Tribolium castaneum: one gene and its partners. The protein of the gene in region 2 interacts with the protein of the main gene of each other region in a pairwise test. Links are inferred from orthologs where the notes say so. Each region holds a gene or a part of one and is shown on either strand. Other genes may lie near its edges.

Evidence for each region.
Region 1: the proteins of nuclear protein 1 (region 2) and Mpp6 interact in a two-hybrid assay, tested with the Homo sapiens proteins (2 studies listed by BioGRID and IntAct). The link is inferred for Tribolium castaneum from reciprocal best matches to the Homo sapiens genes NUPR1 and MPHOSPH6.
Region 3: the proteins of nuclear protein 1 (region 2) and ran-specific GTPase-activating protein interact in a two-hybrid assay, tested with the Homo sapiens proteins (2 studies listed by BioGRID and IntAct). The link is inferred for Tribolium castaneum from reciprocal best matches to the Homo sapiens genes NUPR1 and RANBP1.
Region 4: the proteins of nuclear protein 1 (region 2) and Syx18 interact in a two-hybrid assay, tested with the Homo sapiens proteins (2 studies listed by BioGRID and IntAct). The link is inferred for Tribolium castaneum from reciprocal best matches to the Homo sapiens genes NUPR1 and STX18.

The regions. Positions count from the first base shown.
Region 1 is NC_087398.1:4,379,993-4,382,279, reverse strand, and holds Mpp6 (M-phase phosphoprotein 6), read right to left. Parts: upstream 990-2,287; coding exon 564-989; downstream 1-563. Other genes in the region: Ptpa (serine/threonine-protein phosphatase 2A activator), read left to right, coding at 1,132-1,222, 1,269-1,357, 1,406-1,612, 1,662-2,004, 2,127-2,287. UniProt on the Homo sapiens protein: RNA-binding protein that associates with the RNA exosome complex. Involved in the 3'-processing of the 7S pre-RNA to the mature 5.8S rRNA and play a role in recruiting the RNA exosome complex to pre-rRNA; this function may include C1D.
Region 2 is NC_087399.1:2,801,017-2,803,152, reverse strand, and holds nuclear protein 1, read left to right. Parts: upstream 1-1,159; 5' UTR 1,160-1,236; coding exon 1,237-1,434; 3' UTR 1,435-1,636; downstream 1,637-2,136. UniProt on the Homo sapiens protein: Transcription regulator that converts stress signals into a program of gene expression that empowers cells with resistance to the stress induced by a change in their microenvironment.
Region 3 is NC_087401.1:11,103,065-11,107,350, forward strand, and holds the start of ran-specific GTPase-activating protein, read right to left. Parts: upstream 2,863-4,286; 5' UTR 2,720-2,862; coding exon 2,705-2,719; intron 2,656-2,704; coding exon 2,241-2,655; intron 1-2,240. Other genes in the region: wbl (protein windbeutel), read right to left, coding at 2,887-3,621. UniProt on the Homo sapiens protein: Plays a role in RAN-dependent nucleocytoplasmic transport. Alleviates the TNPO1-dependent inhibition of RAN GTPase activity and mediates the dissociation of RAN from proteins involved in transport into the nucleus.
Region 4 is NC_087400.1:1,051,009-1,054,188, forward strand, and holds Syx18 (syntaxin-18), read left to right. Parts: upstream 1-1,427; 5' UTR 1,428-1,565; exon of another isoform or gene 1,566-1,569; intron 1,570-1,615; 5' UTR 1,616-1,646; coding exon 1,647-2,531; 3' UTR 2,532-2,612; downstream 2,613-3,180. Other genes in the region: zinc finger protein 239, read right to left, coding at 293-639, 695-946, 992-1,376. UniProt on the Homo sapiens protein: Syntaxin that may be involved in targeting and fusion of Golgi-derived retrograde transport vesicles with the ER.

The DNA of each region.
Region 1 (2,287 bases), on a different chromosome or scaffold from region 2:
ACGACCTTCATTACCTTGACTGATTCTCTTGTGAACTCGCAAAAACCTTCTCAGAGTGAATAAATTAAAATTAGAATCTTATATAACCTCTCAGCGATATTTCAAACTACGTCAGTCAGTGTTTATGTACTGATTTCGCGGCATAAAAATCTCAAATGCGAACTCGGAAAATGTGGACTTTATATTTAAATTTGTTTACTATTGGGGAAAAAATTGATTATTGGACTCACCAATTCAACACGAGCACAGATTTGATAAGAAAGGACGACAGATCTGCGCAAGCGCTAAAGCGGGAAGTTTGAAAGCTTGTGCAAATTTTGGCACGTGCTTGCTTTGTCTATGCATTTTTTTAATGAATCAGAAACAGATAACCAAGTAAACACAAAATTATCGGCTGATAACGTTGTTATGAGTCGCAATTTACGCATAATTACGCTCAAAACCAGCCGTTAAAAGGGTGATTTGCGAGCTAAAAATACAAAATTGGCACAAATAAGATATCAGGCTTCAATTTATTCAAAAAAAAGTTTATACAATGTAATCAAAATACGAAACTAGGTTAACTAGAAGTCTTCAGATGGCTTTATAAACTTCCGCTTATTTCTGTTTTTCTTCCCGCTGAATTTATTTGCCATTGTGTTAACTAGAGTGGAGTATTCCTGAGCCATTTGGGCGTCACTAACGTCGGTTTCTTTGCGTTTTTCCACCTCTTGTTTCTTCCTAGTGTAATCGTTAGACATCAGTTTCTCTATTTCCGGATTCATGCCACCAAATGATAAGCGCCCTTCGATTAAATTTCGGCAGTTAAAGATACTCGTTTCTGTGAATACAATGGTCCCGCTTTTCTTCATTTCGTCGGTGATTTCATTGGAATACATGGCTTTGCCCTCGGCATCTTCCTGCTCCTTGAGCACCCTTTCCTTCGTACGTTTCATAAACTTCATGTCCAGGATGGACTTGGACAATTGAACTGGTTTAGGCCCTTGCATACTTTTGGCTCAGTGAAAAACAATGTATAAAACACTTTTCAAAAAAATATAATTTGTTAGGTTAGAAGAACTGTCAGTTGTCACTTTGACGTGCCATTTTTATCATTGAAAGGTTATGATTTGTGTTTATTAAACAAATAAAATGAATAGAACAATTATGTCCGAGTCTTTCGCGGTGGGTATCGGGCCTGCGGCCCCGCGGGGCCGCTCGGCGGCCTCCGTTGCCACCACAGGTATTTCCCCATCGTTCTTTCCCCCTTTTTCACCGGCTTGTTCCAGTGGGGTCCGACCACGTCTTCGAAGTCCCCACAAAACTGATCAAAACACCGGCTGATATGAAAATCTGGGAGAAATCCGAGGCCTATTTTGTACAATTCCCTCTAGGCGTGACCTCATCTAACACTCTCATTCCATAGGAATTTTTGGGGTTCATTCTGGCCATAAACGAGGCAGTTAAAGGCAAAAGCAATTCGCGCGGGAGCGAAAACGCCTCCGAGGAAGTCCAGAAAGTGATCGAGTTGTTGAACAAGCTTGACACGAAAATCGACGAAACGCCCGCTGTACAACAGCCCCAAAGGTTCGGAAACGTGGCGTTCAGGACCTGGTACCAGAAACTGCGAGATGTGGGTCCACAAATTCGCGTTTGTTTCTATTCTGACGGGCGTTTTCCAGGAGTCGCTTGTCTTGCTCCAGGATGTGCTCCCGACTGAATTAAATGCCGCCGTCCCCGAGATCGTTTCATATTTGGTGGAATCGTTCGGGAATTCCACACGGATTGACTACGGGACGGGGCACGAAATTTCATTCATTATGTTCCTGTGCTGTTTGTATAAAATCGGGTTTTTGAAACAACATGATAAGACAGCCACTGGCTGTGCCATTTTTACGCGGTATTTGGACTTGGCGCGGAAATTACAAAAGACCTACCGGATGGAGCCCGCCGGAAGTCACGGCGTTTGGAGTCTGGACGACTACCAGTTTGTGCCGTTTATTTGGGGCAGCTCGCAGCTGTTTGGTAAGTAAACAAAAAAACTCTCGGTTTACAAAACGCTTCGGAAAAATTTGGGCCAAATTTAAGTTAAAAAAATTAAGATTAACGCAATTTCCATCCAAGTTTTTTCCACTATGTTTGTTTAGCCCATCCGATCATTGAACCGTCGGGTTTTTTGGTGCCGCAAATTTTAAACCAGTATGGAGAGGACTTCATGTTCCTCACTTGCATCCAGTACATAAACTCAGTAAAAAGCGGCCCTTTTGCCGAGCACTCGAACCAGCTTTGGAGCATAAGCGGAGTGTCC
Region 2 (2,136 bases):
AACGGCAATAAACACGCTAGAAACATGGAAAATGTAATCTGTTTTTGCTTTAAAATACGAGCATATTAAACAAAATTCATTACTCAAGAAACAATAGCGAAAACTTTTGATTTTAAGTTTTTACATAAGTTTTAAAAAAACACTCAAAAATAGTAGTAATGTGCTAGGTTTTCACCGGTATAGTTTCTAACAATTAATTTTTTTCTTTTCTCGTATTAATAAAATTAAATCGAGAGAACTAGACAACCCGTTATATTTTTTTTACTTTAAGCTCCTTTTACTTAAACTGCATCAATTCCTTCGTAAATTGCTTTTTAATTTAGCATTTACTTACACAATCATCATTACTTACATCAAAAACATCTTTGGTTTTGAAACAGATAAAAAAATCTATAGAAATTCAAACCGTTATTCCAGTTCTAGAACACCTTTCAAATGATAATCTCGAATCTAATAATTGCTGTTCATTCTTTTCTAGAATAATCCAGAACGTTTCCTTTTATTTTTTCCAAGTAAACCAAAATTTATTTTTGCCTCCTGCTTATAATTAAGGAAGTGGCGGCTAGACATGTAAATATACATTTCTTGAAAGAAAAATTACTATTTGACGTGTAAAAATAGATCCTTATCGAAAGAAGATAAGCAGAAATGTGCAAGTTGATGTTAAAAACATGGTCACTGCAATCAATTATTTTTTCATCTCGTTCGATACTTTTTTCCCCGTGACCTTATTTTGTGAAGGTAATGATAACAAAAAATAACAATATTGCACAGAATTACGAAAAAATAATTTAGACGCAGTAAAAACAAGACTATCAGTAAAAAATTTATATTATAACCGTCAGCAAAAATATCATGGCCACATCAAGTTCACGTGGTGTATTGGTTGGCAATAAAATACAACAGAAAAACCCTAAGACGCCCACGCTAATTTAGAAAGTAAATAAATAAACAATGAAATAAATAAATGCGAAATCAAGGACAGGCGGCACCGAGTCGAGTTGACTGTTCCAAGAGTGAAAAAACCATTGTTCTGTCTTCAGATGCGCATATGATTAATTTTAATTAATTAAAAATTACTAATTTATGGTCAAGTCGGCGGAAATAGCGACTTTGTCGCTCGAGTTGGCAGCAGTGCGCGTGCGTCCCCACGGGTATAAAACCCAGGCGGCTGTGGCCCGCTTCAGTTGTTTGAATTGACGTTTGACAGTGAAAAAATCTCGTGCAAAAACCAAAATGTCCGAAGCTCATTTCGACGAATATGAACATTACAACTTCTTGTACGACAAGCACATCTACAGCGGCCACAGTGGCAAGCAAAGGAGCAAGAAGGAGGTCAGCGAGCACACGAACCACTTCGACCCCAGCGGACATTCCAGAAAAATCGTCACCAAGATGATGAACACGGAACAGAATAGAAGGGCGAAGCACTGATCTCGAATCCCCAATCTGTGATTTTCCAAAGACGTTCAGTGGCGAGTTTTGAGGATTTTGTGATTTTGTTTGACACCTCGGTAGAAGACATTGCTTTCATGATATTGTTGTGTTGATAGAAATGGTGTTGACGCGATGATTATATTAAATTATTGTTAGTTTTTCGAGTATTGTATTTTTTCAATAAATACTGTACACCTGATGTAGTGTTTTATTTTATTTGCGTTGGTAGACAACCATTGGAAAGTTTCCAGAAGGTTGGCGCGGGGCGGTAGAGGTGTGCGCAGGGTCAACGATTGCGCTTTGTTTGGTTTCTAATTATAGCAGGCCATGGACGTATCCGTTTTTTGTTTTTTTTTTAACTTTAATCTAGAAGAGATTTTTGAGCTGTTCTAGAAGTAAATTCCACTGTATAATGATGATGAAATAATTATTTGTAAAATTCGAAATCCGACAGTATTTATGTTAAAAATAAAAGAAGAAATCACTAGCTATTTCAGTTTTAAAACAAAATGAATAAAAACTTGAGATTTAATAGTAGGCGTTTAAAAGATTTTTTTTTCATTAACAAAACCATCAGACAATAGAAGTCATTTTGCCAAATTAACTTCTGTAACTTACATTATTCATCGTTGCCAACTTAATTTCAGTCACAGGCCACTTGAGCAAAAACTAATTGAATCCATGGCATTTTGGAATTTT
Region 3 (4,286 bases), on a different chromosome or scaffold from region 2:
ACACCGATGGGGAATTTTTAATGTCCGTTGTGAAGAGGTGTCCGTTAAGAGAGGTTTCACTAGTTTTAAACTGGCTAAAAATTAGACACCGACTTTCTTGATTCTTCTTTTAACTTTGTCTTTTGTTTTTTGTTTATAAAAAGTTTACATAAAAATACATTCGCGTTAAAAAAATTATATAATTACTGCTTCAGTTAGACTCTCATCAAGGATTTGGCAACCAATTAAACACAAATTATTTGTTTACTCACAACCACATAAATAAAGACTTATTTCAAATGCTTAAACTTTATAGAATAGAATAGAAAAAGAAGTAATACTAGGTAAATAAACATCCTATTTTACAGCCAGACAAGTGTGTTAAAAACAGTAATAATAACAAAGTGTGATTATTATTTCACAGATGTTTAAAGCTTAATTTTAGAAGTAAAGAAAAAAATATTAGAGGATCCAAAAACTTAACAGAAAATATTGATTAGACTTTGGTTTCATCTTCAAAAATTGCAATGGAACAGTAAGACTTTTAAACCAAAAAGTACATAGTCAGAGATTAAGACAGTGCGTGCAAACAATTTATCGAAATTATTATAAATTATTACCAATTTGCGTTCCACTTTATATTTTTGTGGACGCTGTGAATTCGGCTGAAGGTACAAAAAATATAAGGAACAAACTTGTAGAGGATTAAATTTAAAAATTTTTGAAAGGTTTGAAGATAGAAATATCACTGGTATAGAGAGTGCATTTAAAGTAAAAATGAGTTAAATGCGATTATTAGTTGTTTCAAAACTATAAAAACGCCAATATCGCCATTTTACTGATATATATTTTTTTAATAAGATTAATAAAAATGTAAAATAGTTATTAATTAGATCTCTTATTGAAATTATTTTGTTGAAATTAACTGTTTTGAAACAGCTAATATATATATTTTAATTTGTTTTCCTTTTGCAAAAACAATATGATGAAAAAACACTTTAGAATACATTAATTACAATCTGATTTTTTTGTACAGGTAAAAGTCAATAACATCACCTGTATTTGTTATTAAAGGCTGTTACTCACTGTTTCTTTTAAAAAATATTAATTTTACACTCGGTTTTATATAATTTTACATATGTTTGTACCATGAGCAAAAATGAAGGCAAAAACGAACTGACTTGTATAATTTGGGAGAATTTTCCGCCCAAACAAAAACAGAAATAAAGATAAAGAGGGGATAAATGGGGTACAGTGTTTAAAAATAAAATCTTTAAAATATGAAAACTTTCCAGGAACTATTTTCTATCGATATGATGCTTAATAAAATTATGCAACAAAAGAAACGCAAACAAAATTTGTCCTGAACCTAGTACCACTGGAAAAATATAGAATATATATTTAAAAAATATACTTTCGGATATTGTTAAATTAAAATTATTATCTCCATTAATTAAAAAAATATTTAAAAAGTAAGATTTATTAAGTGCACACGAGAATTTTTTTAAATTTTATACTGCAACTTTTCAACATTATGTTCACACACTGGTAAGTAGCAATTATCCTTTTAATATTTATATAGAAATAACTTCTTAAATTATTTTGTTTTTTTACACCAATTAATAATTATTATTTCGTACATACCCCAAAAACATGAAAATATTAGTTAATGATTTTCACCGCTAAGCTCACGATATGGTGTCGCGATTTTTTTAAAGGAAATTTAACTTAACTCTCTACAAGTTTCTTACTAAAATTTTTCTTGTATATTTGTAAAGTATAAAACGAAGCGTAAATTTTAGAATTTAAATATATAATTCTTTCGCATGTTTCTCGTAAAAATGTTAGTCGTCAGCCTATTAAGAATGCAAAGCTCAACATTTCTGTAATTTTTTCCAAATAATTAATAAATTAAAATCGGTGTCGTGACGATATAACGTTCAAAGCGCCCTCATTTGTACTCTGCCGAACTATATTTTTTGGGTACAGAAAATCTCTTTTCGTCTCCTAATTCATAGTCCTCCCTAGTCGACGTACTTCCTATTTCAAAACTATAGAAAAAATAATAACAGCACACTTATATTTTTTAAGAGTCAAATCGATCACAAATTAAAATGTTCTGTGTAAAATTTGAACTATTTCCATTTAAGCAAAATTGTACCAAACTTTTCGCTCGCCTATAATTCAGTGTTGCCAACCGACTTTCACTCAAACCCCCAAATCACCAAAAACTAAACAATTTATTATTTAACCCAACTTACTATCAACACTTCCAAATTTGATAGCGAAGCACTCCTTCTTGGCCTCCTCGTCGGCAAAATCCGCCACCACCGTGTAAACAAACGCCTTTTCTGTCCCCTTACAGGGCTCCAGACTCATCCACGGCCTGATAAAATGATTGGCACAAACCTTCAAAGTCTTATCACGCCTCATCACTATTCGCACCGAATTGTCAAGTTGCAAAATTTTTAATTCCCCTGTGCCCCTCTCCTTCCACTCGGGGGGCTTACTGGACTTATCAAACCGGTACAGTTTAGCCCGCATTTTCAGCAACACCGTCTCATTCTCCTCGTTCGTGCGAACTTCGACCTCCGGCAAACTCACAATGGGCTTAAACTGGGGGTCCAGCTCGGTGTCGGAACTCTCGCTCAGAGTGCGATCTTTCGCCTCGGTGTCCTGAAAGCGTCCCCTAAACGACTTTTCCAAATTATTCAAGCAAACTTACGATAATTTCGGACATTTCGTGCGAAAACCGGCTTTCTAACCCAAAAATAACGACTTTCGTTCGTGTGTTGTGTTTTAACTGGGAAATGTCAAAATGGCGTAGACAGCCAATGGCGGGGCGGGACCGTTTGACAGACAGGGCGCCAAATTCAAACGCAATGTAAGGAAAGGCGTTTATTTTAGTTACAATTCGTTTCTGGGTAGGGAAAATGAGCGCAAAATGTTCAGACGGGTGCTCAGTTCGGCTTTCTTCTGCTCGTTCACTTTGCCCTCCTTCAGGATTCTCTTCAAACGCCCCAGCTCCTGGGTGACGAACTCCGACCCAGTTTCGACAATTTTCGACATATATTTAAGGTAAACGGCCGCTGTTTCCTTCTCCTTGTCGGTCAATTCGGCGGCTTTTGCTTGGGCTTCTTCCAGTTTTTTCTGCTTGTACCCCGTATTGACAAATTCCATTGCCAGTTTATCAAACTTTTCCAGACAGCCGGGAAGTCCAAGGTAGATATCGGTGTTGTCCTTCACAACGTTCCTCAAGTTATCCACAGTCCATTCGGCACTTTTGGCGAATTCCACCGGCGCCTTGCCCTTGACGAAGAGCCTAACTGCGGGCAAATCGTCCTTTCCGACCCCGAACTTAAGGGCCAATTGTTCGTTTTCCTTGTCGCCGTAGTCCTTGACGCCGACTTCGGCGAGTATGAGTTTGTCGTTTTGGGCGAGTTCTTCGGCAAGTTTGGTGAAAACATCGTGTTTCTCACCGTAGGGATAAGCCACGTCGAATTTCACCAAAACCGCATCAAATCTCGAAACAATCTTATCAAAATTGTACTCGTCCAATGAAACGCAGCCTTTGCAGCCGTTTGTTGGCCGCGTATAACTAAACAGAAGTAGTAGTGAGCCTAGAATGTAACTTGAACACATTTCTAACTTAACTGTGCGATGGTTTTCGCATCTATGATTACGTGTGGTGATAATAAACAAATGAAACAAAACACAAACCTGCGACACGTCAAACTCGTACTTCGTTTGTTTCACTTGGCCACTTGTTATTGGCTAAATTGGAGGTGAAAGAAAGCGGGCAGAGTTGCCAACTGAGGCACTTGCAAATTACCCAAATGAGGAGTTTTCTTATACTATTTTTCGTAATTTGCCCCATTTTTGCCGTTTTTAAGTGAAAATCGATTTAGGGATTTTTGTGACAATTGTCCCAATTTGGAAAATTTTTGTTTTATCCAAATTTTGGCAAAAATACGGTCGCGAATTTGCTTCCTGCCAACTTAAAAATTTTCGTAAAATGTTTAATCAAATAATGACTATTGTGACATAGCACTTGATGACGTTGCGTGCTTTAATATGGCTGTTAAAGGCATTAAAATGGCGACAAATTACAAAAATTATCTTTTAGATTTACTCTGCGTCTTTGCACAATTCTCCAGTAATGTTTAGAAGTTTTATAGATTATTCTTTATCAATGTTTCTCCACTCTTCTCTTGATTTTTCTTTAGATTATTTTATAAGTTCATCTTTAGGCTTGTTTATAAATTCCTCTTAATTATTTTGTAGACTTCTTTCAAAATAATCCTATA
Region 4 (3,180 bases), on a different chromosome or scaffold from region 2:
TTATTTCAAAATAAAGCTACTTTGGCTATTGTTAACCGACTTAGCTCAACAATTTCTATATTCTTTATCCAAACAACTCAAAAATTTTGTTCCGTCAGTTCAGAAATATTAACAAAATTGTCACTTGCAAAAAAATTGGCATTTTCGAGGGAATTGGTGGTAAGTATCGCACACAATATTTTTTCTACAGCCATCAAACAGGAGGGATAAATATGATCAGAGAGTTCTAGGTGTAATAATAAAATTGCATACGAAAAACATTTATTATTTGTGAACTGATGTGTGATTTTACTCACACTTGATGACTGATCTTTTTGTGCTTACTAAGATTGCCCGTTGTTGTAAAACCCTTCCCACAGTTCGTACACACATAGGGCCGTTCGCCCGTATGTGTCCGCGTATGAATCGTTAAATGAATATTTTTGGAAAAAAGTTTACCACAAACCTGGCACATGAAGGGCTTCTCCCCTGTATGTTTCCTCATGTGAATCCTCAGCACTCTTGGGTGGACAAAAGACATGTCGCAGAGCTTGCAATGGTGCTTTTTCTCATCACAGTGAGTGCTGTTTATGTGAGTCGAGAGGTTGCTCCGAGTCGAGTAAGTTTTACCACATTGGCTGCAAATATACGGCCTCTCACCTACAACAAACAAAAAATTATAATAAAAAATAATGACCTTTTTTTGAGAAAATACCGGAATGGACCCTTGCGTGCACATTCAAGTTGTATTTCTTGGCAAAGGCTTTAGTGCAAACTTTGCATTTGAAGGGCTTATCATCGGGGGGCGCATGTGTCAGCATGTGGTGCTCCAACCCGGACGAGCAATTGAACGTCTTGCCACACACTGTGCACAAATACTGTTTTTCCTTACGTTTGTCCTCACCACTGTCCAAAAGGGGGCTATCTATGAACGAGAGGGACTGCTCTTCCCTCGCAGCACTAAAAACTTAACACCCCCAGTGTTAAAACACCAAACAGCCACTAAACCTACCTTCAAACGAGCAAAACTCGCACAAGTCTGCGCCCCCGCCCAGCACAAATTTCGCACACCTGGCGAGCCCCAAATCGGCGTTCAGACAAAACCGCACATCATGGAGCGAATAAATGAGACTTGTTAGATCGGAAATTGTCTCAATTTTGGACGCTGAGCTCGGGAGTTGCACAATTTCGTCACGAAACGACACGGAAGTCTTTAAAGTGCCGCTATCGCAAGTCAGGAGCACCCCCTTATCAATGACCACTTTATCACAGTGGGGCTTGACGTGCAACACGGCCAGGAACTGCTCCTTGGGGTCAATGTGCACGGCCCAGAGGGGCGTCGGGAGGGTCATTAAGTGCAAGTTTTTCACGAAATCACCAATTACCGACGCACACATTTTCCAGAATAACGCTTGACTGGAAGTTTGGTTATGTTCAACAATTGTAAACAAAAACGAATCGCGGTGGCTGACAGGGCGACTTGACCAGTCACAAAAATGTTAAAAAACGGTATTTTATGAGTTTGTGAAAGTTGTGCCCCCTTTTCTAAATTAATTAAGCCGTTCTACGGCCGTAACGTGTGATTTGTCGGTGCGTTCGATTGATTTGATAAATTTTTTGACGTTGTGGCTTTTAGGTTAGGTACACGTCACTTGTTCGGGGCAAAAATGGACATAACAATACTTTTCAAGGCTTGTGTTAAGACTGTGAGGACGACTAACAAGGCCTTAGGCCTGCAAGAGTCCAAACCGGCGCTCCCGAAGTCGGGTCCGAAGGACCCCAATTTGGCGACTGCTAAAGAAGTGGTGAAGCAAATAACGCACTTCCAAACCTTCCTCTTAGAGAATAAAGCAGCGTACTTGAACGTACTAAACTATTTATCCACCAATAAAACCATGACGGAGGTTGACCGAGAGCAAATAGACACAACAGCTGAGAAAATCGTAACCACATGTACTTCCCTCATTAGCGACTATAAAAAAGAAATTTGCAAGCTGCCCAAAAGCAAGCAAAAGGAGGAACACTACCACAACGTGATCGACTCACTCGAGCGCTACTTAAAGACAGTTAGCAAAATATACACCGAGGCGAAGGCAATTCGCGTGAAACGTGTCTTGGAGACGCACAAAGTGGCCAAATTGGAGACAATTGGCAGTAAAGGGAGTTTGGAACCCCCGATTGTACCCCCAGTATCGCCCCCTCCCGTCGATATCGAAGACCAGCTATCAGTTGAAGAAATGCAAATGTTTGAGTCGGAAAACGAAATGCTCTACAATGAGCTCAACTCAACGTCCGAGGAAGTCAAACAAATGGAAAGCAAAGTCGTGCACATTGCCGAACTTCAGGAATTATTCACGGAGAAGGTCTTGCAACAGGAACAGGATATAGAAAGGATTGCAAACAACGTCGTGGGGGCTACGAGTAACATGCGGGACGCTAATGAGCAAATCAGACAAGCGATTCAAAGGAATGCAGGCTTGAGGGTCTGGGTGCTGTTTTTTCTGCTAGTTATGTCGTTTTCGCTGCTGTTTCTCGACTGGTATAACGATTAACAAACCTAGAAAAAATAAATTATTTATAAGAAAAAACATATTTTTGTATAACTCGGCAATAAAGAATAAATCGACCAAAAAGGTTCTTACATTAAAAAAAATACATAAAACATTGCTGAAACCCAAGCTTAATAATTTGTTTGTTTGCAAACTGTGGCTGATAGAAAAGGAATTATAAAATTCGGGACATTCTATTTGAAAAATTTTTGAGTTTAACATTTTTCCAATTTCGAACTCATTGAAGCAAAGGTTTGTTTTCTTTGTAAAATGCCCAAAAAACGATTTCAAAATCTTTAAAAATGGCACAGCTACTGATTTTTGAAGTGAAAGGTATGAAACCAAAAATTTTCGAAACCCAAATAACGGGAAAGCTGATGTAAACTCCCTGATATAACACGAGTAACCCATTTTTCATTAAAAACATGAATAAATATTACCACAACTTCCAATACTTCTCATATGGGGATTGGACAAAACAGTCTATAGTTTTTTTGTTAACTAGGATATAAAAGAAAAGGACTGTAGGATTGAGGGTCTGGTCTTGTTAATTACTTTTGTGTACTGGTATTCCAATTAATGAAACCTACAGAAAAAATAAATTTATTTTTATAATAAAAAACAAAAGCATATATATTTTTGTATAACTCGG